Arabidopsis thaliana: one gene and its partner. The protein of the gene in region 1 interacts with the protein of each later gene in a pairwise test. Each region holds a gene or a part of one and is shown in the gene's direction. Other genes may lie near its edges.

What was found.
Region 2: the proteins of AT5G56040 (region 1) and TET11 interact in a protein complementation assay, tested with the Arabidopsis thaliana proteins (one large-scale study listed by BioGRID).

The regions. Positions count from the first base shown.
Region 1 is NC_003076.8:22,691,593-22,700,921, forward strand, and holds AT5G56040 (Leucine-rich receptor-like protein kinase family protein), read left to right. Parts: upstream 1-3,230; 5' UTR 3,231-3,457; coding exon 3,458-6,263; coding exon of another isoform or gene 6,264-6,319; exon of another isoform or gene 6,320-6,351; coding exon 6,352-6,818; 3' UTR 6,819-7,053; downstream 7,054-9,329. UniProt on the Arabidopsis thaliana protein: Receptor with a serine/threonine-protein kinase activity.
Region 2 is NC_003070.9:6,371,585-6,378,481, forward strand, and holds TET11 (tetraspanin11), read left to right. Parts: upstream 1-3,321; 5' UTR 3,322-3,466; coding exon 3,467-3,973; intron 3,974-4,285; coding exon 4,286-4,594; 3' UTR 4,595-4,749; downstream 4,750-6,897. Other genes in the region: MAML-4 (methylthioalkylmalate synthase-like 4), read left to right, coding at 28-61, 149-223, 485-568, 659-793, 878-1,023, 1,145-1,277; TET16 (tetraspanin), read left to right, coding at 1,681-2,127, 2,207-2,506; AT1G18530 (EF hand calcium-binding protein family), read left to right, coding at 5,199-5,672; AT1G18540 (Ribosomal protein L6 family protein), read right to left, coding at 5,864-6,019, 6,122-6,303, 6,392-6,498, 6,708-6,897. UniProt on the Arabidopsis thaliana protein: May be involved in the regulation of cell differentiation.

The DNA.
Region 1 (9,329 bases):
TGGTAGAAGGAATGAGAGCACGTGTGGTTGTTGTCATCACAAAAAAGGTCACTATTATGATTTCCCTCTTAAAGCCATATCTCATTATCATTGGCCCCATCTCATTTCACATCATATACATACCTACAAACACAAAATGTCTACTTACATACATTCATGCATATATATCAGTTTTTGTAAATATACACTTTCCTAAATCAATTATACACTACAAACTATATATAATAGGGTTCACACTTGATATGGAGATGTCCCAAATTAGTAATAAAAAGTTTTATCTAACAATATCATCCTATATGTCCTCGACGAAAGAAATCATCATATTCCTATGTGCGTGTGGATTAGTTTTTTTCATAGTTGAAACATTCCATGGCTCATAATCTTCTTCTGTATAATTTCACTAAATGGTACATCACATATATTTGGATTTTGTTTTTCGATTTGAAATGTGTATGAGCTTTGATTATATATTGACTATGTGATTCGTCGTCCACATTAATTTAAGCATGAATCTAATTATTCGCCTTTTCTAAATACTAATATTAGAAAATTTCCTCTTTTTTGGATTGGTTGGTTTTCCATATTATCAGCAAGTATCTAAATGGTTTTCTTACTACAGTGTCTTCGTAGTCGTATGAGTGGTTACAACCAATGGAATTTTATCAACATGGCCACTCATAAGACGTAGCATTATCATGATCAACCATAATATATGTTATATTCATTGGATCGACAAATTAACAAAGAAATAAGTAGTTTTGATCGATGCCCACTTCTTTTCACACTTCTGCCACTACATTCTTGGACTGCTTCTGCTACTAAATACCCCACAGTGGACCAGTTTTTATTATTATAATTGAATTTATAAAATTGATACAGACAAATGCTTGTATATACTTAATTAGCAGAAAGAAAGAAAAAAAACTAAGTAAAAAATTGCCCATCATAATCATCGATCAGATCCACTTAATTAGTAATTTATAACACTCACTTAGTAATATTTATCCTTAGTTGCTTATATATATATCCCTAGACGTATTTTCTATTGCTCTATCATCATGTGGTGAGATCTCTGACCTAATCGAAACGTGATATAGATCCAGATCTTGTTCCATTGTCGTAATCAAGTCTACATCTTTTAATTTATCTTAATTGTTATCATCACTATTAACTTTCTTAAAAGTAAGAAAAACCATCACACTTCATTATAATAAAAACCATCACCCTTCATTGCATACATATGTGAACATGTATAATTTGGAAGCTGCTTAGCTATAACAGTCATTAATTGTCGACGACACTAATTCAAATAACGATAGATGCGATAGACAAAAGAACAATATGGACCATTTAATGATAATCATAAGATTTGAGAAAGAAATCAAAATTTTAACAAGTTTGGAAAATACAGTTGGGTACTTGTCTTTTCTCTTGCATCTTTTGCTGTCTCTTTACTTCCTTCTTGTTTGTTGGTTTTTGGCTTATTGTTTTCCCTTTTATTTTTCCTCTTTATGGACCATATTCATTTAACTCTCCCCACACATGTTCGTCTCTTATTTTAATTTTATTTTGGTATGACTCTCTTATTTATTTATTAAAACTAAACAAATACTCCATAAGTTATAAACCAAAGAAAGAAGTTATAGATCAAGGGTTGACAAAACGTTGGAGCTTAGTCCAAATGATGAAATGCCTCACACGAAATATGTACATACGTCGAATTCAAAGCGTTAGCAAAACTTTTGGTCTTAAAGTTGAGGTCATTTGTACCACGGTGCGCCTGAGAATGATTTAGACACACTAGTACTGTTTATGCAAATGATTTAGTATGTACATTTCATGTAAATGTGGTAGACCCCAAGAGATATTCGTATTTTTGTGAGAAAGAAACTTTGTTACTTGCTTACCATTAATGTAACTCTTTAAAATGAAAGAATATCTGTTGTCTCTAACTTACAACAAAAGTTACATATTACGAAACATATTACATCAATATATGATTAACATCACCAGTTTTTAAGTGAAATTTACGGTAATTAGAGTACACACTATTCCATAATTAAATACCTGCAGAATAAAACCATGTTGTCGAAATGCTTTCTCTCACTTTACTATGTGTATAGATATGCACATGCATAACCATCTCTCTACATATCTATTGATACATATTTAATCTTTTGATTCTACTATGGCATGTGACTTGAGGTGTGGTGTTATATCTTTATATATAATCTTCTTGACCTAATGATGCTTGACCCATGATCTTAATTTTAGTTTACTTTATCTTTTCCATAATCTTTTTGTTTTGTCCAGTTCCTCCTTTTTAATTTTTCTAATCAGTATTCTAAATTTCCAGTCCAAGAAATTGGATCTAAAACACCTTCATCTTAATTCAATATATGTATGAGCAAGTGTATATATGTATATGGATATTAATTAGTATTAGCATACGTATGATATAAACAGATAATTACAGCGAATGAAATGGACCGACAATGCTAGCAGAGATGAGCATTAGTAAATTTAATTAATCTTTCACATAAATTCCTAGCTTTCATGTGCATTTCACACTCTTCAAGATTCCATGTTTCAACTACTAATTTAATAATTTATATATCAGAAATCCAAAGTAGATATCTCCATCTTTCTTTCAGTTATTTACTAATCTCATTTTTACCACTATATAGCCACTTCAGACTCTCCCAAAGTAAACAAAAAAAAAAACAAATAATCACAATCCAAATTATCTAAATGTTTCTTTCGAAGCATTAGAAAACCCCAATTATGTTATGCGTCGTTTATCAATAATAGGTAGTAGTAGTACTACTAGTAGTAGCATTCAACAAATATCATTATTAGTAACTAGAAGTCTAGAAGTCATTATTGATCTGAGTAAACGTTATCTTCCTTTTGTTTCTTAAAAGATAACAATCCAGAAATAACAAATAATAGGGCCAATTCTAACATGTCATTTTCTGAATTTGATAACCTAATTTTCTTAGATGATTTATGACTATGTAATAGTTAGATCTATAGGAGTTTTTTTTTTTTACCATTTATGAATAATATTATCAGCATGCCTCATCTAGAAGCATTTACCACAGATAAATCCACTTACAAGAAAAGGAATAAATATAATTTACCACTCTTTTCATCTATATTTTTATTTAATTTTCAACTTATATAATTCTGTTTTGTTCACAAACAAATAATGGTGAAAAAATAAAGTGACATTGTTTGGAAAATAATAATAAAGGGAAAAAGGTAGAGGTGCTTTTTGGGATCCAGATCTTCCTTTACTACTTCTTCTTCTCTCTCTCTCCTTTGGTTTGCTCTGTTTTTATATATTTCTATAAAATCAAAGTAAAAACCAAATCCATGGGGTTCTTCGCTTCACAATCCCAACGCACCTCTCTCTCTATCTCTCACTTCTTCTTCTTCCTCTCCCTCTTCACCAATGCCACGTAACCCTAGATTCTGCTTCTTCCTCTTCCTTCTTTTTCACTCCTCTCTTTTCTTCTCCATCCCCTGTTTTTCCATAGACGAACAGGGTCTAGCTCTCCTCTCATGGAAATCTCAGTTGAACATCTCCGGAGACGCTTTATCTTCTTGGAAAGCCTCCGAATCGAATCCTTGTCAATGGGTGGGAATCAAATGCAACGAAAGAGGTCAAGTCTCGGAGATACAACTCCAAGTCATGGATTTTCAAGGTCCGTTACCGGCGACGAATCTCCGACAGATAAAGTCTCTGACTTTGCTCAGCTTAACCTCCGTGAATCTCACTGGTTCAATCCCTAAGGAGCTTGGAGACTTGTCGGAGCTAGAAGTTCTTGATTTAGCTGATAATTCTCTCTCTGGTGAAATCCCTGTGGATATCTTCAAGCTCAAGAAACTAAAGATTCTGTCTCTCAACACAAATAATCTCGAAGGTGTGATTCCATCGGAGTTAGGGAATCTCGTTAACCTCATCGAGCTCACTCTCTTCGACAATAAACTCGCCGGAGAGATTCCTAGAACCATCGGAGAACTCAAGAATCTAGAAATCTTCCGTGCAGGTGGTAACAAGAATCTCAGAGGAGAGCTTCCTTGGGAGATTGGTAACTGCGAGAGTCTTGTGACTTTAGGTCTCGCCGAAACAAGTCTCTCCGGTAGACTTCCGGCGTCGATCGGAAACCTGAAAAAGGTTCAGACAATAGCTCTTTACACGTCACTCTTGTCTGGTCCAATCCCTGATGAGATTGGAAACTGCACAGAGCTTCAAAACCTCTACTTGTACCAAAACTCAATCTCTGGATCGATTCCTGTATCAATGGGACGTCTCAAGAAGCTTCAAAGTCTTCTCTTATGGCAAAACAATCTCGTCGGAAAGATCCCTACCGAGCTAGGCACCTGTCCGGAGCTTTTCCTCGTCGATTTATCGGAAAATCTCCTCACCGGAAACATCCCAAGAAGCTTCGGAAACCTTCCAAATCTCCAAGAGCTTCAGCTAAGTGTTAACCAGCTCTCCGGTACAATCCCTGAAGAACTCGCGAATTGCACGAAGTTGACGCATTTAGAGATCGATAACAACCAAATCTCCGGCGAGATTCCGCCGTTGATCGGGAAATTAACAAGCTTGACGATGTTCTTTGCGTGGCAGAATCAGTTAACCGGAATAATTCCAGAGTCTCTTTCTCAATGTCAAGAGCTTCAAGCGATTGATCTCTCCTACAACAATCTCTCTGGTTCGATACCTAATGGAATCTTTGAGATTCGAAACCTCACGAAGCTTCTTCTTCTCTCTAACTACTTATCTGGATTCATACCACCGGATATTGGAAACTGCACGAATCTTTACCGGTTAAGACTCAACGGTAACAGACTCGCGGGGAATATTCCGGCGGAGATTGGGAATCTGAAAAATCTCAACTTCATCGATATAAGTGAGAATCGTCTCATCGGAAACATTCCTCCGGAGATCTCCGGTTGTACAAGTCTCGAATTCGTCGATCTACATTCAAACGGTTTAACCGGTGGTTTACCCGGTACACTTCCGAAGAGCTTACAATTCATTGATTTATCCGATAATTCATTAACCGGTTCTCTACCAACCGGAATCGGATCGTTAACCGAACTCACGAAGCTCAATCTCGCGAAGAATCGTTTCTCCGGCGAAATCCCTCGAGAGATATCTTCCTGTCGGAGTCTTCAGCTTCTCAACCTCGGCGACAATGGCTTCACCGGAGAAATCCCTAACGAGTTAGGACGGATCCCGTCTCTTGCGATCTCTCTAAATCTCAGCTGCAATCACTTCACCGGAGAGATCCCGTCGAGATTCTCTAGCCTCACTAATCTCGGAACCCTCGATGTCTCTCACAACAAACTCGCCGGAAACCTAAACGTCTTAGCTGATCTACAGAACCTCGTCTCACTCAACATCTCCTTCAACGAATTCTCAGGCGAGTTACCAAATACTCTGTTTTTCAGGAAACTTCCACTCTCTGTTCTTGAATCAAACAAAGGGCTATTTATTTCGACCCGACCCGAGAATGGGATCCAAACCCGACACCGTTCGGCTGTCAAAGTAACCATGTCGATCCTCGTAGCAGCAAGCGTCGTTCTTGTTCTCATGGCGGTTTACACTCTCGTCAAAGCTCAACGAATCACCGGAAAACAAGAGGAGTTAGATTCTTGGGAAGTGACTCTTTATCAGAAACTCGATTTCTCCATCGACGACATCGTCAAGAACTTAACTTCAGCTAACGTGATCGGAACTGGAAGCTCCGGTGTAGTTTACAGAGTCACAATCCCGTCCGGTGAAACTTTAGCTGTGAAGAAAATGTGGTCAAAGGAAGAAAACAGAGCGTTTAACTCAGAGATCAACACTCTTGGATCGATTCGACATAGGAACATAATCCGTCTTTTGGGTTGGTGTTCGAATCGGAATCTGAAGCTTTTGTTCTATGATTATCTTCCTAACGGAAGTTTAAGCTCTCTGCTTCACGGTGCCGGTAAAGGAAGTGGAGGAGCTGATTGGGAAGCACGTTACGACGTCGTTTTAGGCGTTGCACATGCACTAGCTTATCTTCATCATGATTGTCTTCCTCCGATTCTACACGGTGACGTTAAAGCTATGAATGTCTTATTGGGTTCCCGCTTCGAATCTTACTTAGCCGATTTCGGTTTAGCAAAAATCGTCTCCGGTGAGGGAGTTACCGATGGAGATTCGTCTAAATTGAGTAACCGGCCTCCGTTAGCCGGTTCTTATGGTTACATGGCTCCAGGTAAAATTCAAAATTTCGATTTTAACGTTATAAACTTATCAATTTCGAAATATTAACTTTATAACGGATTTTATTTGTTTTGTTACAGAACATGCTTCGATGCAACATATAACAGAAAAGAGTGATGTGTATAGCTATGGAGTGGTGCTACTAGAAGTTTTAACCGGGAAGCATCCATTGGACCCGGATCTACCCGGAGGTGCTCATTTGGTTCAATGGGTGAGAGATCATTTAGCCGGAAAGAAAGATCCTAGAGAAATTCTTGACCCGAGACTCCGCGGGCGGGCAGATCCTATAATGCATGAGATGCTACAAACTCTAGCGGTCTCGTTCCTTTGTGTGAGCAACAAGGCATCCGATCGGCCTATGATGAAAGACATTGTGGCAATGCTTAAAGAGATTAGGCAGTTTGATATGGATAGATCGGAATCCGATATGATAAAAGGCGGAAAATGCGAAAAATGGCAGCCGCAACCGTTACCACCGGAGAAAATTGTCAGTACTCCTCGAGGTTCATCTAATTGTTCGTTTGCTTACTCGGATGAATCCGTATAAAAAATTTTACAGGAGTTCGATTAGGGTGATGACATTTATAAAATGTGTGTGTGAATATTTATTTGTTGTCGATGATTTGTTAGAATCAGGGAAAGAAAGATCTAAGCTTAGCTTATTGTTTTGGTTTGTGAGTTTTAATTTTATTTTTTCTTGCAAACGAGTTGAAGAAAGAATGTATTGTAAAATAATTTCAATAGCTTGAAGTGGTTTATTTTATTATTTTTTATTTTCAAAATAATAATATAAACATAAATAATTGGAGATATTGGTTAACTTTGCTAAACCGAAAATTCATAGATCCAAGAATTATCCATGTTCAATAGTCCATTTTGTCTGAACATTGCAGAAACTAAATTTTGAGGAAGAGAAAGATTAGTTTGAACATTGATCCACAATTCTATTATATCAAAAAATAGAACATGATGAGTTACTATTTATAAAATTTTTGAAGGTATTTGCTTTTGTAATTTTTGAAGAATTTAAGATACAAATACTGGATGAGAAAGGCCGGGAGTGTTTGGAGTTACATACAGAAGAAAGATTCGTTCTTCTTTATTAAAATTTTTATTCAATTATCAAATTATATAATCTTTGGATGTTTGCTAATTTTGTGAAATTTATAAGAGAGGCTTTCGACGTGGGATCACGTGGACCCACGCGCCACCCATCACATGATCATGTGTTGTCTGAATAACAATGACTTTCCAGCCAACAATCACCAATTTTTATCATCTAAATACAATAAATAATATTTTTGGTTATATAATATAAGATTGAAGATGACTCGAGGCTCACATAACCTTTTTAAGCTATCAAAAAAAAAAAAAAAACTTTGTGTGCACACAATAATAAGATTGCACATGCCTTAACCAAATGTAAGAACGACAGTTTTCAGTTTTGTGGGTGTTGCTTCTCTTTGTTGTGTATATGTTTGTCTATTTAATCTCTTAAGTTCAAGAGGTTTTGATAGTGACTTCCAAAAGTTTTTTTAAATTAGTCCTGATTTTTGAGTTGCCATCACAGTTTAAATGTAGTTAGTTTAGTTGTATAGCAAGAGAAAAATTATCTTAACAAATTCGTATCCCGAACAATATATTAGTTCTCGTGTAGATGAGTAGATCCATTACTCGTGATATTAATGATTATTTTTCGTATTTTTGAAACAAACTATTGACAAAATAATACGAAATCAGCTAAAGGAAAAAAATATGTGAAAAAGGTTATTGAAGTCTCGCAACAGACAGAAGCAACAAAAAGCTAATGATGATTATGCGGAATGTACGGGAGTCCACTTCATGTGTTCGATTCGATGTATTGTTGTGAGCTAACATTACATCATCTCATGATTTTCATTTTCAAGTCTTGTGCCCATGCATCATCCATGCAAGAGTTTCTCCTAGAGATATTTAACCGGGTATGAGATCCGGATACATACATATAATGGGTTTCAAATTCGCGGGCCTAACGGGCCTGTTGTGTTTCAAATGAGTCCGTTTAAATATGTACAAGAAGATTTCTATCGTATCGAGTTAAATGACAAAATTAAAATACGACTGAGTAAACCAATTCGGAGAACCGTAATTGGTTTAACCAAAGTGTTGTTTTGTTAACCAATTTCTCAATATAACGTTTAACATTGAGGGATGCGTTTCTCAGGTGTTGGATTAGGGTTTTTTCTAGATGAGGAACGTAATGCTGAGTACGAATCTGATCTTCTAGTTCTAGGATTTCTTAATTTGCGGCAGACTGTGACCCCATTTCGAAACAATGGGTTCCTTAAGATGGTAAAAAATGATGCATCAGAAGGCCTTGATGCTTGCCGTGGAAGCTAAAGTGAATAAAACAGAACTAGGTCTATGCAGAACTAATTCTTGTTCACCCTTAATTAGGATTGTCATGTTTTCTTCTCAAAAGCCTAAACTAGGTCTTGTTCCTTTCTCATTCGTCTAGTTAGTACTTTTTTTAGTAGGCTACTGCAAGCAAGTTGATATGATGGAATGCAGATAAAAGTTAGAATTGATTACTAATTTCTTGCTGACACAAGTATTAAAATTGTGAAAGAGTCTGTGTTGTCGATCGTTGTTTCAGTCTCTACCACTAGACATTTGATGTTTCTCAAACCCCAAATTGTTAGGTCCCTTTTCTTTTGCTTTTGTCTAAAGATTTTGCTGAGAATTTGGGCTTCGTATACAATCTCAACTTTACATGCTTTTCCTGGCTAAGCTAGTTAGCCAGTCAATCTCTTGCTTAACTTTTCTCTGCCACTTGCAATTGACACTTTTGTAGCTAATTCCTGAAGTTTCCTAGAAAAAAAGTATTCATGAAGTTAAGACTATAAATTTTAAAAAGAACTCCATGTTGGCTTGTGTTAGGAGATGAATCTGCTTCCTTTTGTTCTTTTGATTTCTTTCAACCAAAAAAGAACCAACATAGCAATCTACTGTCAGATCCTTTTTCTTTTAGATTGTATCTTGTGGATCAAATATGGATCGGATCAGATTTAGTAATCTT
Region 2 (6,897 bases), on another chromosome or scaffold:
ACTTTTGCTTGGATATATATTATGCAGTGGGCGTCATGCGCTGAAAGACCGTTTGACTGAGGTGCACAGCAATCTTACACATACAAATACTTGTATTGCCATCTTTGTGGGAGACACTAATGTTCTCTTATCTTTTGTACATTTCCAGCTTGGTTATCAATTAGATGATGAACAGCTAAGTACCATTTTCTGGCGCTTCAAAACCGTGGCTGAGCAGAAAAAGGTAGTTGCTTTTGGTTATTGTGTATTTCCTCGGAAACCTAACTTGCGTTTTCAATTCCAAATAAAAGCTTCGCAGCCATTTTGAAAGCTTTGTTAGACCTATAAGACTTGAGTCTCCGTGGCTAATTTGGAATGTACTTTGTTTCCTTAGTTCTGGCTGCATAAACTTAGGATGTGTAGAGGATTACTCTTTCTATTTTCTAGTGCTCTTGATTTGTTAATGTAATGTCTTCTGATCGTATATGTTCCCTTGCTGATCCAGAGAGTTACTGATGCGGACATAATAGCTTTAGTATCTGATGAAGTTTTCCAGCCAGAAGCCGTGTGGAAACTCCTGGACATTCAGGTGAAATTGGGATCATAATGTGCTTTCTTACTCTTTTTTCTTGTTCATTGTCTTTATCCAATTCTCATGGTACTTAAAAGTGGAATGCAGATAACTTGTGGAACTCTCGGGCTTTCAACAGCAACTGTAAAACTTGCTGACGCTGATGGCAAAGAACATGTCGCTTGTTCTATTGGAACTGGGCCTGTGGATTCAGCTTACAAGGCAGTAGATCTTATCGTAAAGGTACTGTTTATACCGCTGAGGCTCTCATCTACAAATAACTCACCAGTGGGTCATCGCTTATTGAAAACCTTTTTCCCCCTTTAGGAACCGGCTACTCTGCTTGAGTACTCAATGAATGCAGTAACAGAAGGCATTGATGCCATCGCAACCACAAGAGTTCTTATCCGTGGAAGCAACAAATACTCATCTACAAACGCAATAACTGGTGAAGAGGTTCAAAGAACCTTTAGGTAAAATCCTCTTTTGCCCCATATCTCATTCAAACCGGATCGATTTATCTGCGAAGTTTATTGTTTCTTGTTGATTCTTGCTTGTATTATAACACCAAACCGGTTGTCTTGTGTTTGGCAGTGGAACTGGAGCAGGAATGGATATTGTGGTGTCAAGCGTCAAAGCTTATGTTGGAGCTTTGAACAAAATGATGGACTTCAAAGAAAACTCCGCCACAAAAATCCCTTCCCAAAAAAACAGAGTCGCTGCCTGAATTAAAAATCTTTCCGGCAAATACCAAAAAGTCAGACAGAAGTTAGGTTCTTTTATTTTCAAGTACATAGTTTGGTAATAACTGGAGTTTCGGAGTTTGCTTGTTGTTTATCGAAGTTGCATGTCAAAAGAGTTTGGTGTACTATATATATCTTGATTTAACTTGAATCTCTATTTTTAGAAATAATGGTTTTAGAATAAGGAATAAAAACCAACCGTTAAACAGTTTTAACCTATTTCAAAAAGCTGTCTTTAGACTAAACTAAGGTCTTAAAACTCAAAAACAAAACTGATACCTCTCTGTTCTTGATTCCTTGTCTCTTTGTTACAACCTCTTCATATATCACACAAGTCAAAACATCATATACTCTACGAGTCATTTTAGATTTCCTGATTTGCAAAAAATGTCAGAGATACGAACAGGGTTCTTAACAATGGCGACCATAATCCTTATATGCATAGGCTTAACAATGACGGGAACAGGTTTATATTACAGAAAAACAGTCTCGAAATGTATCCGAGAAACGGATGGCAGTTTCGTCGTCATTGGTTTGCTCTTGCTGGTGATTCCTCAGTTTGCTCTTTACGCAATCTGTTGTCACTCAAAACGTATGTTCACAATCTACATCTATGCAATGATATTCGTAAGCATTGTCCTTGGTGGCTACTCTTTAAAGTGTTTCATCTACAACACAACCTTTGGAATCGCCAAGAACCCGGCTGAGGAAAAGCGAACCGCCAAGCAATTGGTAGGCAGGCTAGTCCCTGAAAGTAAACTTGCAAAAGTCACGGAGTGCATCATTCATAACCATGACTGTAACTTCAATGCCAGCCAAAACAGCAATGTTTGGGTAAGTACTTAATTATGTCACCTCATCCTGATTCATTCGTAATAAAAGATCAATTCTCTAACAATGATGATATATATAGAGGTATTGCTGCGCGCAACCAAGAGGATGTGGAGTGACGACAATGTTCGGGCAACCAGGAGAATGGAGTTGGAAACATCAACACGTAGAGAACCATGTTCCGGAAGAATGTTCTTACGAATACTGTCTCAGTTGCAGAGGTTGCCAGATGAGCATCTTAAAAGCCATTGTTCATCAATGGAAATATCTCTCCATGTTCTCTTATCCTGCCCTCTTTCTCGTTTGTCTCAGCCTCGCCATTTCCAGGTCCATTATGGATACTTTCGATGAACCTGATGATTATAGGGGCTATTATTCTTGATTTCATTTTTCCATATCAAATGTACATGATATATATTTAATTCTAGTTTCTCATTAGTTTTCTTCAATATTAACTAACACCTTTTTCTTTCTTTTTTCTAATCTTAACGATGGAGGAAGAGTCTTTTAAAGTAAATACTCGGATACACCAAATGTTTGGTATCTATAATCTATTCTGACTAAACCAGAGCTATCACCAGAAGTAGTTATTTTGTCACGTGAGATGCGTTTTGGAATTCCACTAATTTCATCAATCTTGTAAGTTAAGATCAAAATAAGAAGAAAATCTCCTAGATGTCACCAGGGTATAAAATGGTTGTGTTATTTACCCATGCAATAATAAATTTTTGGATTTTCTTCCATCAATTCTTAACGAATATTATAAACCCCCCACGAATTTGAGTTTTATCCTTGAAAAACGTTTTTTCACAACATATTATTATTCATATATTTACTTATTTAGTTTGTTTTTTCCTTTTCCAAGTAACAAAAATATGAATTAATATGCATTTTTATTTAAAAATAAAATTAACATAAACCTATATGTAATTTTCCCAACAATCTCGTACTCAATAAATTCTTATTAAATTCAATGTTTAAAAAGTCGAGTGACAGTTTAATTATTAGTCTTAGTTACGTGGCAGTAAGACCTAGTCAAAATCTAATTAAACGACTTCCTCTAAACTAAAGGATCTTCTTAACCCCCACACGATCTCTAAAACCAATGGCTAATAATCTCCACTAATATCATCAACCCACTACCAAAAAAGCAACCGTTTCCCTCTTTCCCCAATAACCACGACTCCACACACTTAAAAACACACACACACACTAAAAACGTTACGAAACATAATTATCAAATTCAAACAACAACAAAAAAACACTCTCTCCCTCTCCGTATCTATTTAAAATCCGATCAGGTTAATCGAGTTTATCATTTGGAGAAAGCAAATTTCCAAAAATGTTTCGAGTTAGCAATTTCATGGTTGGTCTAGCAAACACATTGGTGATGTTAGTGGGCGCTTCGGCCATTGGTTATTCGATTTACATGTTCGTTCACCAAGGCGTCACTGATTGTGAATCTGCCATTCGGATACCACTTCTCACGACCGGACTCATCCTCTTCTTGGTGTCTTTGCTCGGAGTGATTGGATCTTGTTTCAAGGAGAATTTGGCAATGGTTTCCTACTTGATCATATTGTTTGGGGGCATTGTTGCATTGATGATTTTCTCCATATTTCTCTTCTTTGTGACCAACAAAGGAGCCGGTCGTGTGGTGTCCGGTCGAGGGTATAAAGAGTACCGGACGGTGGATTTCTCGACGTGGCTTAATGGGTTCGTTGGTGGGAAGAGATGGGTTGGGATAAGGTCTTGTTTGGCTGAGGCTAACGTTTGTGATGATTTGAGTGATGGTCGTGTTAGTCAGATCGCTGATGCGTTTTATCACAAGAACTTGTCTCCCATCCAGGTATTGTTTTGGATCGATTTTCTGTATGAACATATTTCTTTGTTGATATTTTTGTATAAATATAGTAAAGGGAAGACCAATCAAAGCTTTTGCTTTCTTTAGTATATATATATGTAAAGACAAATCAATAAAAAATAGTCTAGGTTCATTTCATCGTTCTTAGTATGATTAAATTTCATTGTTAAGTTTTTGCATATAGTAACAAAAGCAAGACAATTTTTAGCCGAACTAAGATAACACTTATATGTTAAGCCGTTAAATTTATTGTTCATAATGGGTTGTGTAACTCAAGTATTGATTGTGTATGAGCAGTCAGGTTGTTGTAAGCCACCATCGGATTGCAACTTCGAGTTCAGAAACGCGACGTTCTGGATACCGCCGAGCAAAAACGAAACGGCAGTTGCGGAAAACGGGGACTGTGGTACGTGGAGCAACGTGCAAACAGAGTTATGTTTCAACTGCAACGCATGCAAAGCGGGTGTGTTAGCGAACATAAGAGAGAAGTGGAGGAATCTTCTTGTTTTCAACATTTGTCTCCTCATTCTCCTCATAACCGTCTATTCCTGCGGTTGCTGTGCTCGTCGTAACAATCGGACGGCTAGGAAAAGTGATTCTGTCTGATCAACAACTCAATTTCAGTTTCTTGTGTTTTTCTGTTTTCTTAGTTTGTTTGGTTTTTTAAGTTAATTATCTTTTGTTTTCTTTGGACAATGTCATGTTCTGTTTCTCAACAATTATCATGAATTTATCACATTTCACTAGTCGTAACCATTGGCATTTAATTTTATTTTAAATCTTATGCTTCACATATTTAGTCACAATTCTAATTATCTTTATGTTTCTTAGGACAATGTCATGTTTTTGTTTCACCACAATCAATATGATTTTCTTTACCAAAAAGGCAAAAAGAATCATTATGAATTTTCACATTTCAATAGCAGTACCAATCTAACTCAAACAAAAAAAAAATATGTGGTCTTATCTATTTTTATCAGCAACCATTAACAAACCAACGAAAAAGAAAAGAACAAACAAAACATTAAAACATAGAAAAGATCCAGAATTCTAAATTCTACGTGCTCAAAAAGAAACAAAACTTCAATCTTAAATCTCCTTTCTGGCACACCCTTCATTGACAATCATAACCTCTTGTCTCATCAATCTCTCTCGTCGCCAACATTGATTAATCGATTTTTATTTGTGTTGCTAAAGAAAGAAAGAAAAAATGGAGGATCAGATAAGACAACTTAAAGACATTTTCGACCGGTTCGACATGGACGCAGACGGAAGCTTAACAATCTTAGAACTCGCGGCACTTCTCCGGTCACTCGGTCTCAAACCTTCCGGCGATCAAATCCATGTTTTGTTAGCTAGCATGGACTCAAACGGCAACGGTTTTGTCGAATTCGATGAGCTCGTTGGTACAATTCTTCCTGATCTTAACGAAGAGGTCCTAATCAATTCCGAGCAATTACTCGAGATTTTCAAATCGTTCGATAGAGACGGTAACGGGTTCATAAGTGCGGCTGAGCTTGCAGGAGCAATGGCCAAGATGGGTCAACCATTAACGTATAAAGAATTAACGGAGATGATCAAAGAAGCTGATACAAATGGTGATGGTGTTATAAGCTTTGGAGAGTTTGCTTCAATTATGGCAAAATCTGCTGTTGATTACTTTGGATTAAAAATTAATTCGTGATCATTTCTTATGCTTTTTCATTTATTCATTTTTATAGAAAATCGAATTCATAACACCAGGTCTTAAAGCTAGATTGCTCGAAAATTTGATATATAAAATCAGAGAAAATAGTCTTTAAGATCCAAGGACGATTAAAGATGAAAATACTCAGGGAAACAGATATTCTTAAAATTTGAGAAACAATACGAAATCTAGAAAACAAGCTCATGTGGTTTCATTCCTTGACTCAATGAGAACCTGGCTCCAAGGTAAACCTTGAGCTCTGGGACAGCTTCAATGGATTTGATCAGAGCAGCATCAACGGTTTTCTGGTCTTCCTTCTTCTCCTGTGGGATCTCCTTCTTCTCCTGTTCAACCCAAAGTTTTCAATTAGGTAATGGTACAAAGACAAGAAAACACATAATAACCATTTTTGGATAAAACCAAATATCCATAAGATGATTGTATACCTCTTTCTCAGCTTCGAAGAATTCGCCTTCTGTTTTCTTCTTCTTCTTCTCAGCAACCTTTCCAAAATACTTGTCATCGAATTTCTCAGTGTTGACTCCAGAAATGTCAATCTTTGTGGAGGTTCCAATCACATAGGCTTGGTTAACACGTCTCAATGGAACACCATTAATCTTGAATGGTCCTGAAATGACCAAATCAACAAAGACAAACATTAACATAGGTTCCAAATTGAACAATCAAACCAACACCATCGAGAGATAAGAGTTCACCTGTTACAAGAAGCAAACCAGAAGAAAGTTGCTTGAGGAAGACAACTCTCTTACCCTTGAATCTACCAGCAAGAATGATCAACACAGTTCCTGGAGTGATGCTGGCTCTGCAACACAGAGATAAACAAAACCATATTCATATCAAAAATGAAGCATAGCCATAATCTCTAGGAATCCTACATTTCTAAAAATCCTAACAATTTGTATGGTCTCTCTTATATCACCAGTAGATCCAAAACCATTCTAATACTAGATCTAGCGGAATCAAACTCAAATGAAAATTAAAAACCAATCGAAGAAGAAGATGGATAAATACTTTAGCTTGGTAGGCTTAGGCTTGCGTCTGTTAACAAGCGGCTTCTTGACGTCTTCCGCCGGATAAAACTTGGCAGGCTTCTCAACCGGAGCGTCGACCTTTGGCTGAGCATCGTGACGAGGGAAAACGCCACCGTTCTTGGCCTTGATAGCCCACAAACCTCTCTTGTGGTACATCTGAGACCTCGAAT